5 separate regions of the Mus musculus genome follow, and all the other regions are reported to be linked to region 4. Evidence: microRNA targets listed by miRTarBase, many of them from high-throughput screens and not tested one by one. Region 4 holds a microRNA gene; each other region holds the end of a gene's coding sequence.

The links. The annotated mature microRNA mmu-miR-5098 reads GUUACAUGGUGAAGCCCAGUU and lies in region 4 at 2,804-2,824, shown strand. An mRNA with a match to its seed (bases 2 to 7 or 8) in the 3' UTR can be bound and repressed. Matches are read on the target gene's strand: a 7mer-m8 pairs with bases 2 to 8, a 7mer-A1 pairs with bases 2 to 7 and ends in A, and an 8mer does both.
Region 1: the mRNA of Thap1 is a reported target of mmu-miR-5098. Seed matches in the 3' UTR shown: 7mer-A1 at 706-712 and 8mer at 1,183-1,190.
Region 2: the mRNA of Il15ra is a reported target of mmu-miR-5098. Seed matches in the 3' UTR shown: 7mer-A1 at 1,367-1,373.
Region 3: the mRNA of Agtrap is a reported target of mmu-miR-5098. Seed matches in the 3' UTR shown: 7mer-A1 at 3,837-3,843.
Region 5: the mRNA of Crp is a reported target of mmu-miR-5098. Seed matches in the 3' UTR shown: 7mer-A1 at 844-850.

Annotation. Positions count from the first base shown.
Region 1 is chr8:26,162,372-26,166,490 of GRCm38, forward strand. Thap1 (THAP domain containing, apoptosis associated protein 1) reads left to right here. Exons shown (of 3, transcript NM_199042.2): 3 at 63-1,780. The coding sequence ends at 428. Among named protein-coding and RNA genes, the nearest start is that of Thap1, 6.3 kb to the left of the region's middle.
Region 2 is chr2:11,732,471-11,736,566 of GRCm38, forward strand. Il15ra (interleukin 15 receptor, alpha chain) reads left to right here. Exons shown (of 7, transcript NM_008358.2): 7 at 680-1,515. The coding sequence ends at 779. Among named protein-coding and RNA genes, the nearest start is that of Gm46731, 11 kb to the right of the region's middle.
Region 3 is chr4:148,076,879-148,080,997 of GRCm38, reverse strand. It overlaps Agtrap (angiotensin II, type I receptor-associated protein), which reads left to right. Exons shown (of 5, transcript NM_009642.5): 5 at 394-3,937. The coding sequence ends at 515. Among named protein-coding and RNA genes, the nearest start is that of Gm13201, 2.4 kb to the right of the region's middle.
Region 4 is chr5:77,269,964-77,274,082 of GRCm38, forward strand. It overlaps Mir5098 (microRNA 5098), which reads left to right and starts at 2,794; the gene lies at 2,794-2,875. The region is part of intron 2 of Rest (RE1-silencing transcription factor); the gene reads left to right.
Region 5 is chr1:172,698,424-172,702,542 of GRCm38, forward strand. It overlaps Crp (C-reactive protein, pentraxin-related), which reads left to right. Exons shown (of 2, transcript NM_007768.4): 2 at 1-1,543. The coding sequence ends at 604. Among named protein-coding and RNA genes, the nearest start is that of Crp, 2.4 kb to the left of the region's middle.

The DNA of each region.
Region 1 (4,119 bases), not on the chromosome of region 4:
TTAATGTTGAAACCTCAGCTATGTTAGTTACTAACCCCACGTGCTTGTCTGTTGCTGTCTAGAAGGAAGACCTGGAATCCCAAGAACAGCTCCCCTCTCCTTCACCCCCCGCTTCCCAGGTTGATGCTGCTATTGGGCTGCTAATGCCCCCTCTGCAGACCCCTGATAACCTGTCGGTTTTCTGTGACCACAATTACACTGTGGAGGATACGATGCACCAGAGGAAGAGGATCCTGCAGCTGGAGCAGCAGGTGGAGAAACTCAGGAAGAAGCTCAAGACGGCCCAGCAGCGGTGCCGGCGGCAGGAGAGGCAGCTCGAGAAGCTCAAGGAAGTCGTCCACTTTCAGAGAGAGAAGGACGACGCGTCCGAGAGGGGCTACGTGATCCTACCAAATGACTACTTTGAAATTGTTGAAGTTCCAGCATGAAAAAATGAGATGTGTTAGTGGGACAAGACTATACACCTTCTTTTAGCCTACATACAGGAGTTCATTTGAAAAAATAACACTTAATTACTTGTATTAAAAAAACAATATTTTTTTAAAATAAATTAGATATATACTGTAAAATTGTAATTTTTTTGTTTGTAATTTCAGAGTTTCTACATTTTAACAAATATTTAAAAAATCCTTAAACCACCAATATAATGTTGTATATTGGTTTCAAGATGGTGGATTGTTTTTCATTTGAGTATTTATAGAAATAATGTAAAAATAAAAAGTAGAGAGGGTGATGGTATGATAAAATGATTTAAGTTTAAAAATTAATGCCCTTTATTGAGATAACTTATAATTTAAATCAGATGTTTAAGTGAGAGCATAGGACAGAGCCTTTCAGAATATAGAGGTATACATACACACATTTTGTATTTATAGCCAGAGCTTCATTTATTTTTCTCAATCACTTATCAAAAATGAACTGTCAAGCCAGTATTTGAGGCAAACAATATTTTGCTGTCTTCAGAAAAATCATTCCATAGTTAATAGTTTCATAAAGAGTAGTTTTAAGAGTAGATCCTTTTTGTCCCTAGCGTTATGAAATTAGAAGTGTGTCTTGGGGAGTGGCAGGCCTCCAATCAGGTATTGGCATCAGTGAAGAGAAAATTGGGGGCGGGGCTGGAGAGATGTTTCAGTGGTTGAAGGTTCGTGCAAGCCTCGCTGCCTGGGTTTAACCCCTGGGGCCCATGTAAAGGTGGAAGGAGAGAACCACTCCACAGAGTCACCTTCAGGTCCCCATGTGTGCTGTGACAACCTTCTAAAGAAAGAAAAGTTGGGACCTGGCTCCTAATATGCTCTGATCATCCCCTGGCAAAGGCACCCGATTCCACAGCTGTAGTTAAATCTGCATTCAGACCTCTGACAGATTATTTTAGTAGAGTTTGGTTTGTACTATAATACCGTACTTTGCCCTTTGTACTTAAGTCTTTGATAAATTTTCCCTTAACTGTATGATTTTGGACAAGACATTTCATAGAAAATATTTTTTTCAACTCTTAAGTTAGAAGTTATATCCAATTTACTCCAAGTGACTTACGTTCAAAAGTAATGTGTCGTGTTTGTGTCGCCGTTGAGACTTAAATATTGCAGTTTCTGTTCACACTGTGGATTGTGTTCTGTGAGAAAGGTTACGTATGCTTCAAGTGAAAATATGTTCTGAGTGGACAAGTGCTGATAAAAGAATTCTCTAGGTGTAGGAGAACCGTATTTTATATCTCAGAGGACACTGTAGCTGAAGAATAGCGGACCTTTCAAGACAGTATTAAAGACATGTTATTCCAGTATCTTGTGGCCCTGCTTTTTTCTTTCTGATTTACTACCATGCTGAGAATAGGTAGCACTTTTTTTTTTTTTTTTTACTACATGTAAATAGCTTATAATTGCGTAACGCTGGCTGGGAGGAGGAGCTAGGTACTCAGATGAGAGTCCAATAACCCCGCCCACCCACTCTTTCTAAAAAGGCTGATCAACAGTCTAATCCAGCTATGATGATCTTTTATAAACAAGCACAGCTAATCTTACGAAGATGTGTTGTAGACATTTTTAACCCCAGTCTGGAGTTCCTACCCGCCTTTGACCATTCAGTTCCTGGATAGAAGACACACAACTTATTATTTCCAATAAGCCTTAAGCAGCTCAAGAGCTGGGCAGACACCTACCCTCTCTGCTATTAGAATATACGTTTCTATCGATAGCCCCGAGTTATTACTTAAACAGTGTTTCATCAGGGCTGCTCTTAACTCCAATTGGTCAGCCCTCAGCCCGTTTCCATGGCTCACCTAAACCATGCTGGCTTCTTTCTCCTCACCTTCTGTTCCTCCGGTGGTTCCCCTCCAACCCCAAGCCCAGGAATCCTAAACCCTAGCAATTTCCCTTCTGCCCAGCTGCCAGCTGTCTGCATCGATATTTCCCAGTCAGAAATAACTTGGGGGCAAGGTCACATGCCACGGTTACTAGGGACTCTAGGTTTTTCGGGTTGCACTTAGCCTTACAATACACAGAGCAAGACCAAACCTCAACAAAGATGGCTGTTGTTTGGCTCAGAGGACATGACTGTGCTTAACAAAAAGTTGACTACGTGACTTTAATGAAAGGAAGCAGAATCCTAACAACATACACAGGATAACTGAGTGAAGTTATATTACCTGTGTGCACAGTGATAAACTATGCAGCTTCATATGTTCTCGGGTAAACCTTACAGAAAACACAGGATACTCTGTGTAGTACGTGGAGTCCTTTACCATAACTGTGCTTTTGGTTTGAAATGAGTATTTGTAGCAAATTTATAGATAAAGCAGACACAGAGCAAAACGTCATCACATTGATGTTTATGACATGCAGCAGAACTCAACAAGAAAGCCCTGTGGAAACTAATGCTGGAGTTACCATTGGGAGACTTTAAAAGAGAGGATTCTCTCTGTTATCTCCATAAGAGAGCATCCCAGGAGGTATTTTTACTATGGACATCTTTGTACCATGGTATAAATAATGGTACACACAAAAGGTAATGCTCCTTTAAAAACAGTGAGCTCATGGGACACTGGACAAGAGCCCTGTTGTTCAGTCCAGTGACAACTAACTGGACCCAAGCCCTGTCTTCCTTGTCCCCTGTATAGAGTGGTTCCGATAATTATTATCACCTGTTGGGTCGTGCCTTGGAAACAGACTTTAACAAGAGACAGAACACACGTGTGTGTACTAGAGTCTTATACATGATAACAACACTTGGTTTTAAATTTAAAAAAAAGATTTCTTTTACAGTGTATTCTATATTTATGTCTCAACTGATGAGAAAAACAACTTTTAGCACAAGAATGCCAATTTATTCCCCTTCCCCACTTTTTGGACACATGAACACAAAATATCCCTGCAGGCCAAAAAAACAAAACAAAACAAAACAAAAACCAAAAAAACAAAAACAAAAACAAAAAACAAACCAATAACAACAACAAAACCTCTCCAAAATTTAAACAACCGTTATCTTATTTCACGGAAAGTACCTCGTATTGCTGGAGACAAACATCCAGTCCAAAGTAATAAAATACATTTGAAAACACTACAACTCTAACCATACAGAAACCATACCGTTAGTCAGAGGAACAAACACAAACATTTTCAGCCAGTAGACCCAGAGAGAATATGAATATGTCAGTAGGAAGGGATAAGAAAACGGTTGAGCAATAAAAATCTTTCCTTTAATTCTTGGAGTTGAAGCAGTGTTAGTATGATGCCCTTAGCCTCTGCCTTCTTAAAATGAAACCACAGCAGCTACTGAGCAAGAGAATCTCAGAGCACATCCGTGAAGGGTAGCCGTGGCGTAGAGAGGGCGAGCATGGTTATAACTGCTTTGCCTTTTGCCACGCACGGGAAGGAAGAGGTAGCTGAGCCAGGTGGGTAGGCTTTGACCTAGGATATGGGCCCAGATCCTAAGGTAGAGACCATTTAGATGTCTGCTTGTAATTCCTCATCTTTGGAAGCAGCACATAGAACTTACAGTAAGAACGAAGGTTGTTTGCCTGCCCAGAATGCTGACTGCATCAGCTCAGGATTCAACAACTAACAACAACAACAACGAAACTTAATTGGTTCAACATTTGAGTTTTTTCCCATTCTTAACGTCCTA
Region 2 (4,096 bases), not on the chromosome of region 4:
TGTCTCACACAAAACTCTTTACTTAATCATGGCTTGAAAATTTATTTATCCATAAGAAAACATTATATGAGCCATGGTAGATATCACTGACCAAGATACTTAGGGCCTAAAAACCAAGGGAACTCCCAGACAGGTAGACACACAGACACAGCCAGACACACAGACACAGCCAGACACACAGACACAGAATACAGAGCCTCCCCCTGCTCTTGCTATCCGGGAGCTTTTCACTGTATTTAATGCTAAATACAAGAATGTTTTTTTAAAAAGCCTTGTGAGTATCTAGCAACCTTCATCCATACCATCAAGCCTGGTCCACCATGGTCCCCGTCTCCTCTCTCCATCCCTTGCTACCCATGCTGGTTTCTAGAGGATGATCAGCGGAGTTGGAGGGAGGGTGGGGTGGCATGGTCTGTTCCAGCAACCTTGCTAAAGCCCTGGTGGATGGATGGCAAGGTTGAAGATCTCTAAATAGGATTCAAACTCTTGCTATGTGCACATTCGGGAAGCCTAGGTTTTCCTAATCTCTAAACAGCACAGACCTCTGAGAGTGGGGGTGGAGGGTGACATTTGCTAATGTAACCCACTCAGTACCGGGCATACATGTTCAGTAAGAGATATGTTGACTGAAGGGTGGTCCTGTCCTCTTTTTAAAACCTGTGAATGAACTGCTTTATAGGCAGCCTTCTCAGCCGTGCCGTGTTGAGGTGGAAACCATGGAAACAGTACCAATGACTGTGAGGGCCAGCAGCAAGGAGGATGAAGACACAGGAGCCTAACCACACGATTTCAGAAACTCAGGGAGACCTGCCCAGCTGATCCTGAAGAGAAGATACAAGGGCAGTTAGTCCAGCTGCGCCTGGACACAGGAGAAAGCCCAATGTGATAATAGAGGTCTCTGGTATGATCTGTTTTACTGAGCCTGGGTGCCTCCCATATTCAGGCCTGGATCCCCGGAGTCCGGAAGGACACCACCTTTCTTCCTGGTTCATCACAGAGGCCAACTTCCCAGAGTACAAGCAGCCTGAGCTCTCCTGGGAGTCTCCATTAAAAGCCTCGAGTTCCACTCAGAGATTAACTCAAAGCAGCTGATCTGCTAGACTCTTTTTCTATTCCCTACTCTGACTTGCAGTTTACAGAGATTGACAAGGCTCCCATTGTCTTCCAAGGCTCCTCTGGCACAGGAGATGTCTGTAAAGAAGACAGCAACATTTGAGCTCCTGAAGACTTGGCCCTTTGCTGCTTTGCACCTATTGGAGGAGAGCAGAGAACAGAAGAAGAGATACTGAGCCAATGAACCCTTTCGTATAGGATTCATGACAAAACCAAACTCAGTGACTATATATGTATGTGTGTGTGTGTGTGTATGTAAAAGTGTATATTTACATATACATTTATATTTATACTTTCTTTTCTATTATATCTACATATTGTATATGATTTATATTTGAAAGTGCTTTGTGTAGACAAAATAAAATATCTATTTTCAGTACAAAAAGCATTAAAATTATCAACAAAAAAAAATGTTCCTCAAAGGAAAAAAGGAGAAAGAGGGGTGAAATGGTTCTAATGTGAAAGAGATCTCAGGTTCTCTTTCAAAAACAGAGTCACACCACCACTGCCCTGCTTTTGGTGGGATTTTTAACCAAATTTCCTAGTGAGTAGAAGCAACGTGAACTAAACAATGGCAAGTCTGAGCCCAGCTAGCATTAGACACATACCTTTCTCTCTCTCTCTCCCCACTCCCTCCCTTTCTCCTCCCTCCCTCCTTCCCACCTTCTTCATTTCTCCCCTTCCTACCCCTTTCCTGTTATCACAACCATTTATAAAATCATAAGACAAATTCCACTTCTTTGTTTTATTTATTTATTTATTATTATTATTTGTTGGAGAGCCGTGGATAAAAAGGGATTTGCCCCTAGTAGGCAAGTATTTCACCACTAAATCATATCCACATATCTACCTTTACAGACAAAATAATAGTAGCCTGGAGAAGTTGATCTGCCCAAAGTCACATAGCTCAACTAATGCTACCACTTGGACAAAACTGGGGTGGGAAGTTGGGTAGGAGAGGAGCTCTGGTCATGAGTCAGCTGCCAATGGGCCTCCTGCATCCCTGGGTAAAGGGGAACCACCATAAGTATTTGGGAGATGAGTTAAACACCTGGTGCACAAGCTACCATTCCTAACTGGCTTCTGCCAGACATCAGTGTATGTGGTTTCTTTCATCAAAACTAAAGGAAGTCTTTCCGCATAGGTCATGGGCTTCCTCAGAACATGGTAGACTAGTTAGGTTGTTTAAATGGTGACCACCCTGCTTTGATTTTCCATTAAGGATCTTTTACTTTTTCTATTGCCTAAGATTGCTCCATTCCCGAGGAATTCGGTTTTGTTTTGGTTTTTTTTTTTTGTTTTTTTTTTTGTTTTTTTGTTTTTTTTTATCTAACAGCCAGAATCTGCCTATAGCCCAGGTTGAATTCATTTCTGAATATCATACTGCCTTCTGGAGTTTGGAGAATTGGACTTTCTTTTGAACATGACACTGGAACCTGCACATTGTTGGAGTACCTCATTGTCCTCTAATATAAAAGCCAGCTGCTCCCTGGTCTATGGCACATAGAGTAGGTCTATCAGAGCATCTCACCTAGTACTTTGGGTTACTCTATATGGAATGAATGAAATACAACAGGCTGTGCCCAGCAATGGCCCTGCTACCAGGGAACTGGCTGGGGTTGTTTTTCTCTGTCAGATGTGGTGGTTTGAAAAGCAATGACCCCTAAAGGGTTCTATATTTGAAGGTAGTACCAAGAGTGGGGCAGTGCTGTGATACAGCTGACCATGTTTCATTTGTTGTTGATTTTGTTTGTTTCGTTGAAGAATATGGAAGGCTTTAGGACTTTGGACTAGGAAGACAGTTGAAAGGTAAACGTGGGTCTTAATGGGTCATTCTAGTAGGTTCTTGGAAGACAGCAGTGCTGGAAAGTGTCACCTATAGAGGTCCAGCTCAAGAGGTTTCAGAAGTTAACAATATTAGCAACTGGGCTAGAAGCCATTCTTGAGGCATTTTAAGGAAGAATGTAGCTGCTTTCTGCCCTTGTCCTATTAATCTGTTTGAGACTGAATTGAATTTTTTATCTAATTTCATTGTCAGATGATATTTCAAGACAGCCAAATACTGAATTTGTCACTTGGTTATTAGTTATGACTCTTATGCCGATCTATAAAGCAAAAGGAGCAAATGGGAAAGAACAAAATGTACAGCTTGGGGAGAAAAAAAAGAGTACTAGGGAACTTGGTGTTCAAGCCAGGATTTGGGCATGAAGAGATAAGAAAAAAAAGTGAATGTCCTTGGGATGAGAGTCCTGCAATAAAAAGAAAAGGCTGTAGGGACTACCGGCTCATAAAGAGCAAAAAGAAAGTTTATGCAAATGTAATCAAGGGTGGGGCTAGGCTCCAGGCCACACAGACAGCAAAACTTAGCAGTTTGGACTGTGTTCTAGGTTTAGAGTCTTGGCCATTTCAGGAAACGGTGAAAGTGAAACCTGAATTGTGTGGGAGATCCTCCGAGCTGTTGGAAGTGGCAGGGCTGTGGGATGCCTGCTAGAGAGAGCAGTGGACAGGAGTGGAACCAGCCTAGGAGAGAGAAGTACGTTGTTGGTATCCGAGGTGGGAAGGTGGAGTCATCTAAACCCTTTTAACATCAGAGATGTCAGGATGTGGCGTTTACCCTGCTAGGTTTTGGTCTTGCTTTTGCCCAGTATTTCATTACCATGTCCTCATTCCTCCCTCCTGGAATGGTAATGTATATTCTGTGCCATTGTAGGTTGGAAGAGAACAATTTGCTTTTTGATTTTGCCAGGGGTTACAATTAAGACATTGCCCTGAGTCTCAGAAGGGACTCTGGACTTCAAAACTATGTTGAGAGTAAAAGGCTATGGGAACTTTTAAAGTTGGGCTTGGCATCTTTTGCATTATGGCATAGTTACAAGTTTATGGAGACCAAGAAGTGGAGTCTGGTGGCTTGAATGAGAATGGCCTCCAAAGGCTCGTGTATTTGAAGGCTTGGTCACCAGTTGGTGGACCTACTTCAGAAGGA
Region 3 (4,119 bases), not on the chromosome of region 4:
AGCAGGAGAAAAGTGCGTGGGCTGAGGACTAGCCACCCCTCTTCAGATCCCTCATCAGTGCTTCTGGGGCAGATTTGGCACAGCAGCCAGGAGCCACTGACCATAGGACCTGATGTCTAGGCTGGAACCCAGTGTCCTATGCCTCAAGCCAAATGATATCAAATCAGCCTGTCTCTCTGACCCTCAGATGTCTCTCATCTGCAGATCCACCCATCAGATGCTAGGATTGAGTGGATGCTGCCTGCCAAAGGCTTGGTGTCTGGGCTTCTGCTACTGCACATTGTCCTTAGCATCATGGTGTTGAACTCTAGCCATGGCAGACGGTGGATCCATCTGTGCTTAGCAAAAACCCCAGGGTCTCATTTTCTCTATGCACATGTCCCTGTCCTCTAGATTTCTTCGGACCCTCTCAGGAGCACAGTGCCTACCAGACAATTGACTCATCATCAGACGCTGCTGCAGACCCCTTTGCAAGCCTGGAGAACAAGGGCCAAGCTGTCCCCCGGGGGTACTGAAGCTGTCCCTGGTCGTCCTGGTCCCCAGCAGGATTCTTGTTCAAACCTTCTTTACCTGGACCTACAGTGGGGCATCCGCCATTCCCTATCACAGAGGTGGCCTGAGTCATGTGCCCTTGGAGGTCAAGAGCCTCTAGCTTCTCAGTGGAGAAGAGCCCAGTCCTAATTCTCCAGGCTACCCCTCCCTTCAAGACACCTGTTAACCCCTGGGCTAGAGCTGTGGTTGGTTTTTTCCCCTCCTACCCCATAACTATAACACACTCCTACTGAACTGCCCAGAGTGCTCAGGGCCAGCCAGGCCTCATGGGTTAGTGATCACTGCCGCTCGGGCTGCCCCATGGTGATCAGCCCTTCCTAGAAGCTCTGTGAGCTTGTGGTCCCGCTCAGCCTGCTCTGCAAAGGGGCAAAGTTCCTGTGCCTGTCACGGCCTCATGACTTGGTGTCTGAGAACCCCAGGCCTGGATGCAGTAGTTCTTCAGAGGCCCCTCTCAGAGTGCTGGCATTAAAAATTCAGGGGTTCTGTGGCTGCTCTGTGTCTGAGCCACGATTGAGCTCCAAGCACAGACCCACCCTGCTGTCTTGGTATGATTTTTGCCTTTGAGTCAAGAGCCTGATGGAAGGAAGGGCTACCTGTGGGCCTGTGGGGGGAGCCTGACTGTGGCCAAACGGTCAGTGTGGCATGTGGACAGACATCTGTCCTCTGAATCTAAGTGACTATCACTGCCTCTGATACTGACCCATGAGGCAGGGCATGGGTGACTCCCTCTATCTCCTGCGTTCTTACCACAGTCGACTGCCTCCTGAGGTTCCAGGGCCCCTATTCTTACTGCCAGATCTCTGGGGACAGATACTTGAAGACTTATGGGGAACCACAGGCTGAGGTGACTGTCCTGAAAGGACTGTCTGCACACCTGTGGACAGGCAGGGAGGCTGAGTGACAGCATCTGTGAAAAGTGAACCCCACCCCCCACCCCCGCCTCTGGACAGGGTCACTGTGGAACACCATCCCATACAATCAGCATCCCATACAATCAGCATCCTGAGCCCAGTGTGAGCAGAGTGAGGAGCAGCGTGTGCCACTAGAGGGAGGTAGTTGTGAGGCAACCTCTCACAAAACCCTTAGGTTTGTTTAGGTTGTATGCAGCACAGTATAAAACATGAGCCGGGGCCCAGAGACGAGGCTCAGCAGCAGGTGAAAGGAGTCAGTCTACTACTTAGCGTGACAATCTGTGTTTAGTTTTGGACCGACTTGAGAAAGTTGTCCTCTGACCTCCACACATACTCTTGTCATGGTATGAGGTTTTACACACAAACAGAGAGAAGAGAGAGAGAGAGAAAGAAAGAAAGATAGATAAAAACAAACAATCCAGAATATTAAAAACCTGCCTGGTGGGTGGTTAATCCCAGCACTCGGGAGGCAGAGGCAAGTGAATGTCAGAGATTGAGGCCAGGCCTGGTCTACAGAGTGAATTCCAGGTCAGCCAGGGCTACACAGAGAAACCCTGTCTACAAAAAAATAACAAAAAAGCTCTGGGATGCATGTCAAGTTCCTGACTGCAGAGGCCTTGGGGGAGAAGGGAACATGAGGCCTGCGGCAAGGAAGATGGAAAACCCAGGGTGTTTCTCCTGTTTCTGGGCAGTTTCTAGGCAGAAGGAAGGCCTGGAGTATCAGTGCCGTGTCTCTTGGAATAGGTCATGCTTGCAGAGACGAATAAGGTGAGGCAGGGGCTCAGCCTAAGTAGCTAAGACAGGTCCCAGAGCCTGCATCCCTCAGATCCAGCTGACCTTAGGGAAAGGTGGAGGAGGAATATCTCTGGAAGAGCCCCAAAAGCAGACTAGAGCAGGGGAGCTGGGCTTTCTCATTGGTCAATGGCTGTCCCACAGTGGATGACAAACTTCCAGCTGATGGAGGAGAGGCCCCGAGGCAAGCAGAATAGGTGGGTGAAGAGAAGAGACATGCCCTAGAGGCAGCAGTGGGCTAGAGAGGGTCTAAGTGGAGGGGCAGCCCCCCAGGAAGGCTGGCCTGGAACACTGGCCAGCATGTGGTTAGGAAGTGGTGTGGCTGGAGCGCTTAGTGTCAGATAGCAGAAGAGCAGGTTGGGAGCCACCATGGGGACTGCCTTCCACTGAGTAAGAACTCAAGAGAGCATGCATCGGTATCCGAATCTGAATGTGACTGGTTGATACTCCCTAGAAGGATACTTTGTACTTGTTGGCTGTGGGAATGTGACAACTGTCACCTCCTGGACACACTCTGAAGGTGGGCCTGCGGGAACTGCTGATGCACCGAAGAGAGAAGCCAGGAATACTAACAGTAGGATTGGGGCTGTACCCTGTAGTTGCCACTGACTGGAAAGCCAAGAGGAGCACACAGGCTGGTGGGGCACAGGATGGCCAGGCAGGGTCCAGAAGGCTGTGCTTGTGGGACGGGGCTCTTCAACCAGCTGCTCTCACGGGCACCTGCCTTTGTGCCACAAGGCCCCGTGGTGGTTTGGAAACAGGCTGGCCCCCAGGTTTTAGTCTAGAGCCTGCCGTTCTTGGGAGGTCTCTTACCTGTTGCCTGCAGAGCTGAAGTCTCTTGTCCTGTTTGCAAGTCTATTGCTTGCTTGTTGAGTTGAATCTTCCTGAGAAACTGCCCCTGAGGCACTCAGTGTTCTGTCTGCCAAACTGCTGGTGTGCCCTACTCAGTCTCCAGAACAGCCCTGTAGGTCCAGCCCTCTCTGCAACCAGAGAACCTTGTTTTAAATTTCAAAGGACCAGTGAGATGGCCTGTTGGGGAAGGGCCTTGTCACTAAAATATGAGTTTGATCTCTGGGTCCCATAGGGTGGAACTGACTCCTGCAAGTTGTCCTCTGACCTCCATGTTAGTACTGTGGCACATGCCTCCTCCACAAATAAACGTAATTAAATCTAAAGGTACCCTGAGATTTCTGTATAGGAAACAACTGTTTTAAAAAATCTCACTGTGGGGAGGCAGAGACAGGCAGATTTCTGAGTTCGAGGCCAGCCTGGTCTACAAAGTGAGTTCCGGGACAGCCAGGACTATACAGGGAAACCCTGTCTCAAAAAAACAAAAACAAAAAACCAACAAAAACAAACAAAAAAATCTCACTGTGTCTCAGTTTCCTGTTCTGAAAAGTGGGGATAAGATGGGCCATTGAGATAGCTCAGTGGGTAGAGGGTACATACTGCCAGGTCTGATGACCTGGGTTCGAGTCCTAGGACATGTATAAGAAGAGACTTCTCACCTCCATATAAACACCATGGCACTTGGCGTGTGTGTGTGTGTGTGTGTGTGTGGCACACGCACACACGGTAAAAATGTAAAATAAAGTGAGGATAAAAATCGTGTGTGACTCAGGGACTAGTGAAGGTTGAGAATAGTGGAACCTCGATGGTAATAAATGTTAAAGCTTATTGTATGCATTGCTGTGTGATTAATCACAAGGGGAGGGTGAGAAGCCTGCTCCTCCAGATACCTATCATTTATCAATCGTGTGATCATCCTGAGGGAGGCACCTTTACACAATATCAGAAGGCTGGAAGTATCCTCTGAGGTTTTGTTCTGTGAAGCACATATCTGCAGTCAGTGAATGGCTCCAAC
Region 4 (4,119 bases):
GAGAGCAAGCAGGCATACCTAGGAGAACTTCATTTCAGACAAGCATTTGTTGAGCATATCCTAATACCTACAGGTTTTGAGGACTTTCTGGCCCAGAAGTATAAGTCTGAGGGGCTTTCATGGTCCATCTCCCCAGGCTTAGACCAAAAAGAAAAGTTTCAGGGGGTTAGAGAGATGGCTCAGTGGTTAAGAGCACTGGCTGTTCTTCCAGAGGTCCTGAGCAGAGTCCGCTAAGAAAAGCTTATCCTGGAGATTCATGTATGACCTTGGCTGGCCTGAACTCCCCCAGTGTATCATTCTGTCCCCAAACTTTGCTTTTGGACCCTGAGTGCATAGATTACAGGTCTGTGTCACCACACCAGTCCTTGTTTTGTGAGACAAGGGTTTGTTTCAGTAGTAGCCTGGCCCTGCTGAATTCTTGCTTCTTGAGGCTATTATTAACAAGTCTAGGAAGATAGGTGTGAGCCACAAAACCCTGGCCAGCCTAGCACTCCCTCTCCTGCCTCAGCCTTCTGATGTCTAAGACAAGCAGATGCAGATACTGAGATGGGTGTACTTAGCTTTATTGAACTTTTAGTGTTTGGTTGAATGTTTGATAGTACTGGGCATAGAGTAACTTCAACATTTATCGGAGTTGATTCATTCTGTCAGATACAATCAGAATGGATTGTAACTGTCAACCCTAGAATGGCACTTTGCATATGTATATATGTACAAAAGGGTGGAAGAGTGCTTAGGGCAATTTCAGAAATGGTTGGAAATTCTGCTCTGGTCTCAAAGTGAAACTTTGTTAAATGCTTTGTTTTGTTTTTTAAACTCAAGTTTGTGGCTGTGCATGGTGATGCATAGCTTGAATCCCAGTGACTTCCAGGACAGCCAGGGCTGGACAAATAGAACCCTCTCTGGGGTAGGGTGGACTGGAGGATAGGGTTGGGGGTGACAGGCACAAAACAAGAAAAATTCAGGTCTGCTGTTCTAAAGGGCAAACATTCTAATCCGGTCTGCACACAGTAGGGAAGGATAGAAGGCTTTAGATTCTGAAGTGGGGACCGTTATGTTTCCATAAGACCAGAAACTTCATGTGTGCAGTGAAAATTGCAGTTGCTAACAGCAGTGGTCTGCAGTGTGAGCCAGGGCTCCTAGCTGCTGCATGCACAGACCCCAGTGTTCTGTGCATGGAGAACCAGGGCTACAGGTAGGGCTGCCAGAAACAGCTCAGATTTTATTTTATTATTATGATGTAGTCAGGCTGTCCTGGATTCACAGAAATCCACCTGTCTCCATCTCCCAGTGCTGGGATCAAAGGCTTGTGCCACTACACCTGGCTTAGATTTTGAATTAATTTTAGTTCTTTAGAAACATTTTATTGCCAGTTGTTTTGGATCCCCTGTTTATAAAGTGATTGCTGCTTGAATCTTACCCAGTGGTGAACAGATTGTATCATCTATGCTATTTTATCCAGATACCAGCCAGGCCGTGGTGGCGCACACCTTTAATCCCAGCACTTGGAAGCAGAGGCAGGTGGATTTCTGAGTTGGAGGTCAGCCTGGTTTACAGAGTGAGTTCCAGGACATCTAGGACTACACAGAGAAACCCTGTCTCGAAAACAAACAAATAAACAATCTCTATCCAGATACCATGTTCTCCAGGCTGCTTTAAGGACGTCTCTTAAACTTTAGAGTCTAATAGTGCGCTGCTTGTGCAGAGGACCTGAGTTCTGTCCCCAGCACCCAGGGCTTAGATCTCAGCAGGTGCCTGTGCACCCACACATAGACACATAACATAGAAACCCAGGAAAAAACAAAGACAGACATGGTGCAGCAGCCTGGCCTCAATCTCAGCAGAAGCAGACAGCTAGGTTTGAAGGTTAGAAGCCAGTTTTTTTTTTTTTTTTTTTAATAGGTTTTCCGAGACAGGGTTTCTCTGTGTAACCCTGGCTGTCCTGGAGCTCCCTCTGTAGACCAGGCTGGCCTGGAACTCAGAGATCCACCTGCCTCTGCCTCGGGTGCTGGGCTCAAAGGTGTGCGTGCCCCCCCCCCCCCCCCCCAAGCTGGAGCCAGCCTGGCCTTGACTTTTGTCAGGCCAGCTAGCCCTACATGTATGTAGTAAGACCTTGTCTAAAAAACTTTGGAAAAAAAAAGTTTAAAATCTTTGTGGTGGCTAGAATTAAACAGCATTTGGAGGCAAGAGGCAGGTTTAGAGCTGCAACTTTGAGAGTCTGTCTGTCTGCCTGCCTGCATATGCATATCCATACATGTAGCTGCAAATTAGCCAGGTGACATAGTGAGACCCTCCCCCCCCACCCCCCAATGGTAGAGAGTAAATAAACATTGAGGGAATAATTGCTTCACTGAGAAAACCATGGCTCACTGTGACATTCCTCTGGTTCCTACTAATACAGACCATGCCAGACAATATGTGGTCACTACAGTGCTTCCGTGCTTTAGTAATTCTACTTAATAGCCAAGTCTGTATTTATACCTTCAGAGCTGGTAGGTTGCTGAGGCCTGTAGGAGGTTTGCAAAGCTACATTCGGTCAGTTCCTCAGAAGCTGAGACTGGGGGATCATTAGTTCAAGGTCAGCCTGGGCTTCACAATGAAGCCCTGTTTCAGGTCCAGGAAGGGGAAAAAAAAACCTTACTAATGAGCTAAAGTATTTTCATTTGTTGATTGAAGAATAGTTCTAATGGGGGGATATTTTACTTTTTTTTTTAGATTTTATTTTAATTTGGTATAGTGGCCCCCCACTTTTATCCTAGCATTTCAGAGGCCTCTGCAGGCCTGATCTATAGGATTAGCCAGAGTTACATGGTGAAGCCCAGTTTTGTTTTGTTTTGTTTTTGAGACAGGGTTTCTCTGTGTAGCCCTGGCTGTCCTGGAACTCACGCTGTAGACCAGGCTCAGAAATCCGCCTGCCTCTGCCTCCCGAGTGCTGGGATTACAGGCCTGTGCCACCACTGTCCGGCAGAGGCCCAGTTTTGAAAAACAACCAAACAACGATTTTAATGAAGAGTGTGGGAGTGGTAAGACTAGTGTCTGTTTGTTTCCTAGGAAGGAAGAAGTATCAGGCTCTCCACCTAATCATTATTTGTTTAATTTTTGCTTGTTTGACACAGGGTTTCTCTTTGTATCCCCAGCTGTCCTGGAACTTGCTGTATAAACAGGCTGGCCCTAAACTGCAGAGATCCCCCTGCCTCTGCCTTCCCAGTGGCACTATTCCCAGCCCTTTTCAATTCTAAGGCTTTTTTTTTTTCCTTTGAGTGCTGTTCTGTGCAGGTGCCCTGGGGCCAGAGCTATGTGGCGCCCAGGGACGCCTGGGCTGCAGTTACCCGCCTGGGCTGCAGTTACCCGCCTGGGCTGCAGTTACCCGTGGCAGTTGTGAGCCACCTGCTGTGGGGGCTGGGAACTGAATTTGGTCTTTGAAGCATTGCCTGCTCTCTTAATGGAAGACCTCTGTCTCACCCCCGCCCCCACTTCCTCTAGAAGATTTATTTTTATTTTTGTTCTTGGTGAGGGTTTTACACGTGTATGGATGTCTGTGGGGGCTTTAGGATCCCCTCAGAACTGAGGTTACAGGTGCCAGTGACATGGGTATTGGGAACCTAACAAACTTGGGCACTTTGGAAGAGCATGTGTTTTTAACTGCTGAGTCATCTCTCTCCCCCTTTTAAGTAGGATCTTGCTATATACCTCAAGTGGAACTTGAATTCCAGGTTTTCCTACTTGGGCTCCTGGTGCTGAGAGTATAAGCACACGTGATCACATCCATTTTAGTGATTGTTTTATATGGGGGGGGCTGTTATCCAGTATATAGCCTTTAGCTACCCTTTGTTGTTGGGGGGCCATACAGGGAGGGTTTCTCTGCATATCAGAGGTACTCTCAGAGATCCCCATCTACCTCTAGCTCCTGAGAGCTAGAATTAAAGGTGAGGCCGCCACACCCATCTCCCTCTCTCTAAACAGAGCTAGAGATAACCTAAGGCTTACCATATCTGAGCATACTCCCTGCAGCTGAGCTGCATCTCCAGACTCTTTTCTTCGTTTCCGAGTGTAGGAATGTGGCATTGCATCTCTCTGTCATGAGTTTGAATGTTCTGGTTGTTTTCTGCGCTTTGGGCA
Region 5 (4,119 bases), not on the chromosome of region 4:
AAAGGCCTTTGTATTTCCCAAGGAGTCAGATACTTCCTATGTGTCTCTGGAAGCAGAGTCAAAGAAGCCACTGAACACCTTTACTGTGTGTCTCCATTTCTACACTGCTCTGAGCACAGTGCGCAGCTTCAGTGTCTTCTCTTATGCTACCAAGAAGAACTCTAACGACATTCTCATATTTTGGAATAAGGATAAACAGTATACTTTTGGAGTGGGTGGTGCTGAAGTACGATTCATGGTTTCAGAGATTCCTGAGGCTCCAACACACATCTGTGCCAGCTGGGAGTCTGCTACGGGGATTGTAGAGTTCTGGATTGATGGGAAACCCAAGGTGCGGAAAAGTCTGCACAAGGGCTACACTGTGGGGCCAGATGCAAGCATCATCTTGGGGCAGGAGCAGGACTCGTATGGCGGTGACTTTGATGCAAAGCAGTCTTTGGTGGGAGACATCGGAGATGTGAACATGTGGGACTTTGTGCTATCTCCAGAACAGATCAGCACAGTCTATGTTGGTGGGACACTCAGCCCCAATGTTTTGAACTGGCGGGCACTGAACTATAAAGCACAGGGTGATGTGTTTATTAAGCCGCAGCTGTGGTCCTGACCTACTGTTGTGAGCCCTGAAGCACCTCCTGGGATTACATTCTCTCCCTTGTCTCGGGTTATGAACCTTTTAGCCCCAGCAGATGTTGTAGGTCTGTTCTGTGAATATGGCCTTTCACTTCTCTGCTTTGTGGTCCTCAGCACTAGAGCACGGAATTTAAATGGAAGGCTTCCAGCATAAGCATCCCACTAGGACTCTACCAAAGAGAATCTGACTTACCCATGGTTTTATATATATATATGTAAATATCCATATATATATATATAATTGAAAAAATTTCAGACATAATTCTTCTCCCTCACATAGATGAAAAAATAGATGCACAGAAAGGAGAATAATTTTTTATTGTTTTTGTTTTATAATGTCATCTTGAGTGCTGTATTTACATACTTTCTATCCCTCCCTCTTCAGATCCTTTCCTATCCTTCCAAATTCTCTCTCAAATTCATGATGTCTTATTATTAGCCTTATGCATATATACATATGCATAATACCTATCATCTATCAATCAATCAATCAATCAATCAATCTATCTATCTATCTATCTATCTATCTATCTATCTATCTATCTATCTATCTACCTATCTATCATCTATTCATCAGTCATCCATCTTACTGATTACATTTAGTGCTTCTTGTATTTTGTTGAAGACTGGACACTGGATAATCTATCAGGAGGGCCCCTCCCTGAAGACTGATTGTCCTTTTCTCAGCAGCCACTGATTACCTCTAGCTCTTCATATAGGGTTCTGTCTTTGTGAAATTTCTTCTGTCCATGTTGCATGTCAATTGGTGTCATTATGCAGGTCTTGTTTGGGCAACCTAGAGTGATGGAGCACTGACTACACTGTGCTCAGAATCAGTTCTTTTCTGGAATAAAATCTGTACCTGAACTTCCCCAGTCCATGAGTCAATAAAGTCACCTTTGGCTTGAATGAATTTGAGCAGTTTTATGAATAACTTCATTATTGACCCTCTGAAATCAAGACTCTAAATTCAGGTTGACTGTCACTGTCATGCAGAATCATATCCAAGCCATACTACCTCCTGCTGCTGGAGTCTTTTGTGATGAGTCTCTCTGAGGTGAATAGCTCTACTTTGGAGATAGCTGGTCATTCATGGGGTTCAGGTGTGGGGTTCTGATACTCTCCCTTTTAGATTTCCAGTTTGAGAACAAACATCTAAAGACTTCTGAGATTCATGAATCTGTAGTCAAGTCCAGTGATGGAGTACATTTGCTTCAGTCTGTTTGGCTGCTTTATAGAAACAGACCCCTCAACACTGCTGACTTTTCCTGGAGGCATCCTTTATCATGGTCTTTCCAGACTGGGTCAACAATGAATTCATTTCATAAGGCCTTATTCAGGTTGGAGAAGGGACTTATTCAATCATTGTTTTAGGGAAGGCATAGGATAGAATGGTTAAATTTAGAGGTTCTAGAATCAGGTCCATGTCCTGGTTTTATATCATACAATTATGTGACTTCTTTGAACTCAGTTTTCTTACCTATAAGTCAAGAGAAATGATTTAATTAATTTAAAGGTCATTGTAAGAGCCAGCTCTGATTACACAAACAGTAAGCTTGTATAAGAGCCACCCTCTGTTATTACTAGTTGGCTTTGTACTACATGCCTAAATATTATACACCATGAAAATAGTGCTGTTGGAGTTTTGTCTAGGTTGAAAGCATGTGTGTTTCTGATTTGCTAAAAATTCAGTTCAGACCATTAGGAGGATGAACAGAGTGTCTTTAAAGAAATTATTTATGAATATCGATTTCCCTAATTGACCTTTGATAACCATTTAGAAGCACAAGAGTTAGGGAAATACATTCTTAGGCAAAAATGTGAGTGCAGATAATTCTCCATTGTCCAATTAGGGCAGATCCATACACCCTGACACTCAGCTAAGTGGGAGAGAGGGTTGATGCTCTTTTCTAGTTAACGAATCTAACCAGGAGATATGTCTTAATTATAGAAGGCCGTCCCAACTCCTTAGGGATGTGGGATGAGCTAATATGTTCTTCAGAATTCAATTATGGCTACCTTGCTACACACAGTCTAGCAGAGAGCCTCTGGCCCCGATGATTTTATCCAGGGAAATTTTAACAGGCAGTATTTACATTCAGTGTGGATTAAAAAATCTTAATAAATATTTCTATAGTGCTTAAATTGAAGCAATTTGCCTTTTTGGCAGATACTTTGATATAATCTTAGAAAATATATTCCTAGGTACCTGGTGAATTGTCATGATATATGAAGTTGTTAGATGTAATTTAATAAAATGATATCTGTTGAGGATGATTTTGATTTGGGAATGTTGGTGCTGTTATTTTAATTTTTTTATAAGTGGATAATACCAACCTTCCATGCTGGTCACTCTAGGTGATATTGGCAATGCTGTGTCATTGCACTGGGATTTCCAGGGATCATGCATCAAGCTTATCCAGGAGCATTAAAGTGCAAGTTAAAAAGACAGAGAGCCCTGCTCTACATAAATCTGAATATCAAAAGTAGGCAATGGTTAGGGAGATGGCTTAGTTGGTAAAGCACTTGTCTTGCAAGCCTGAGAACCTGAGTTCAGGACCCAGAACCCACACAATTGCCAGGCATGGTGCTCCATGTTTGTAGTCTCAACACTGTCGAGGTAGGAACAACAGGATCACGGAGGCTAAATGGCCAGCCTGTCTGATCTAAGTTGATAAGCCAGATTAATGGGAGACTCTGTTTCAAAATATGTAGGTGGTGCTCCTGATGATGATCTCCAAGATTGTTTTCTGGCTTCTACACAGTGTGAACATGTGCATACACAACTGCGCGCGCACACACACACATGCCTGCATGCACATAGGTATGCACACACATGTACATGAACACTTAAAATCATAGCAAAATACTATGCCTTATTTACAAGCAAGTAAGTTAAGTGGACTTATTTCATTTTTTTTCCTACAGAAAATAGAGACTCTGGTTCTAATCTTCTGGCAAGGCCCGAAGAGACATTGTAATTCATTTATAGGCTAAATCCAGAAGATTGAGCAATAGCACAGGTTAGAGCACCCAAGGATGGCTAACTACGCACACAACTTTCTTTTGTAATTGAAAACTGACATTTGGTACAAAGGTTAGGCCTACCTCTGGCCTGAACAGCAGCATCTAAGCAGAAGATGCAACATGGTACTGTACAGTCAGGAGCCGACATTGGAGAAGCTAAAAACTAGCAGGTAAACTTCCTGACACAGTTCAGAAGCCTGGCATATTCTTGTGTCAGGTGGAAATACTGTGCTATTGTTCATGAAAGAGGCTTTGCATATTCTCCAATAGGAGGCATCACGACAATGTCACACTTAGGATGGCAATTTATGTAGGTGCAGGTGAATGCATGGGGACCCATCTCTTTGGTAAGATCTGGTCTATCTAGAGCCTAGAAGAGGGACTACAGACCTCCCCAAAGGTGGAGATAGGGTCCAACAGACATAGATTTGTAATGCAAGTTGACAAAGTAAGGAGAATATT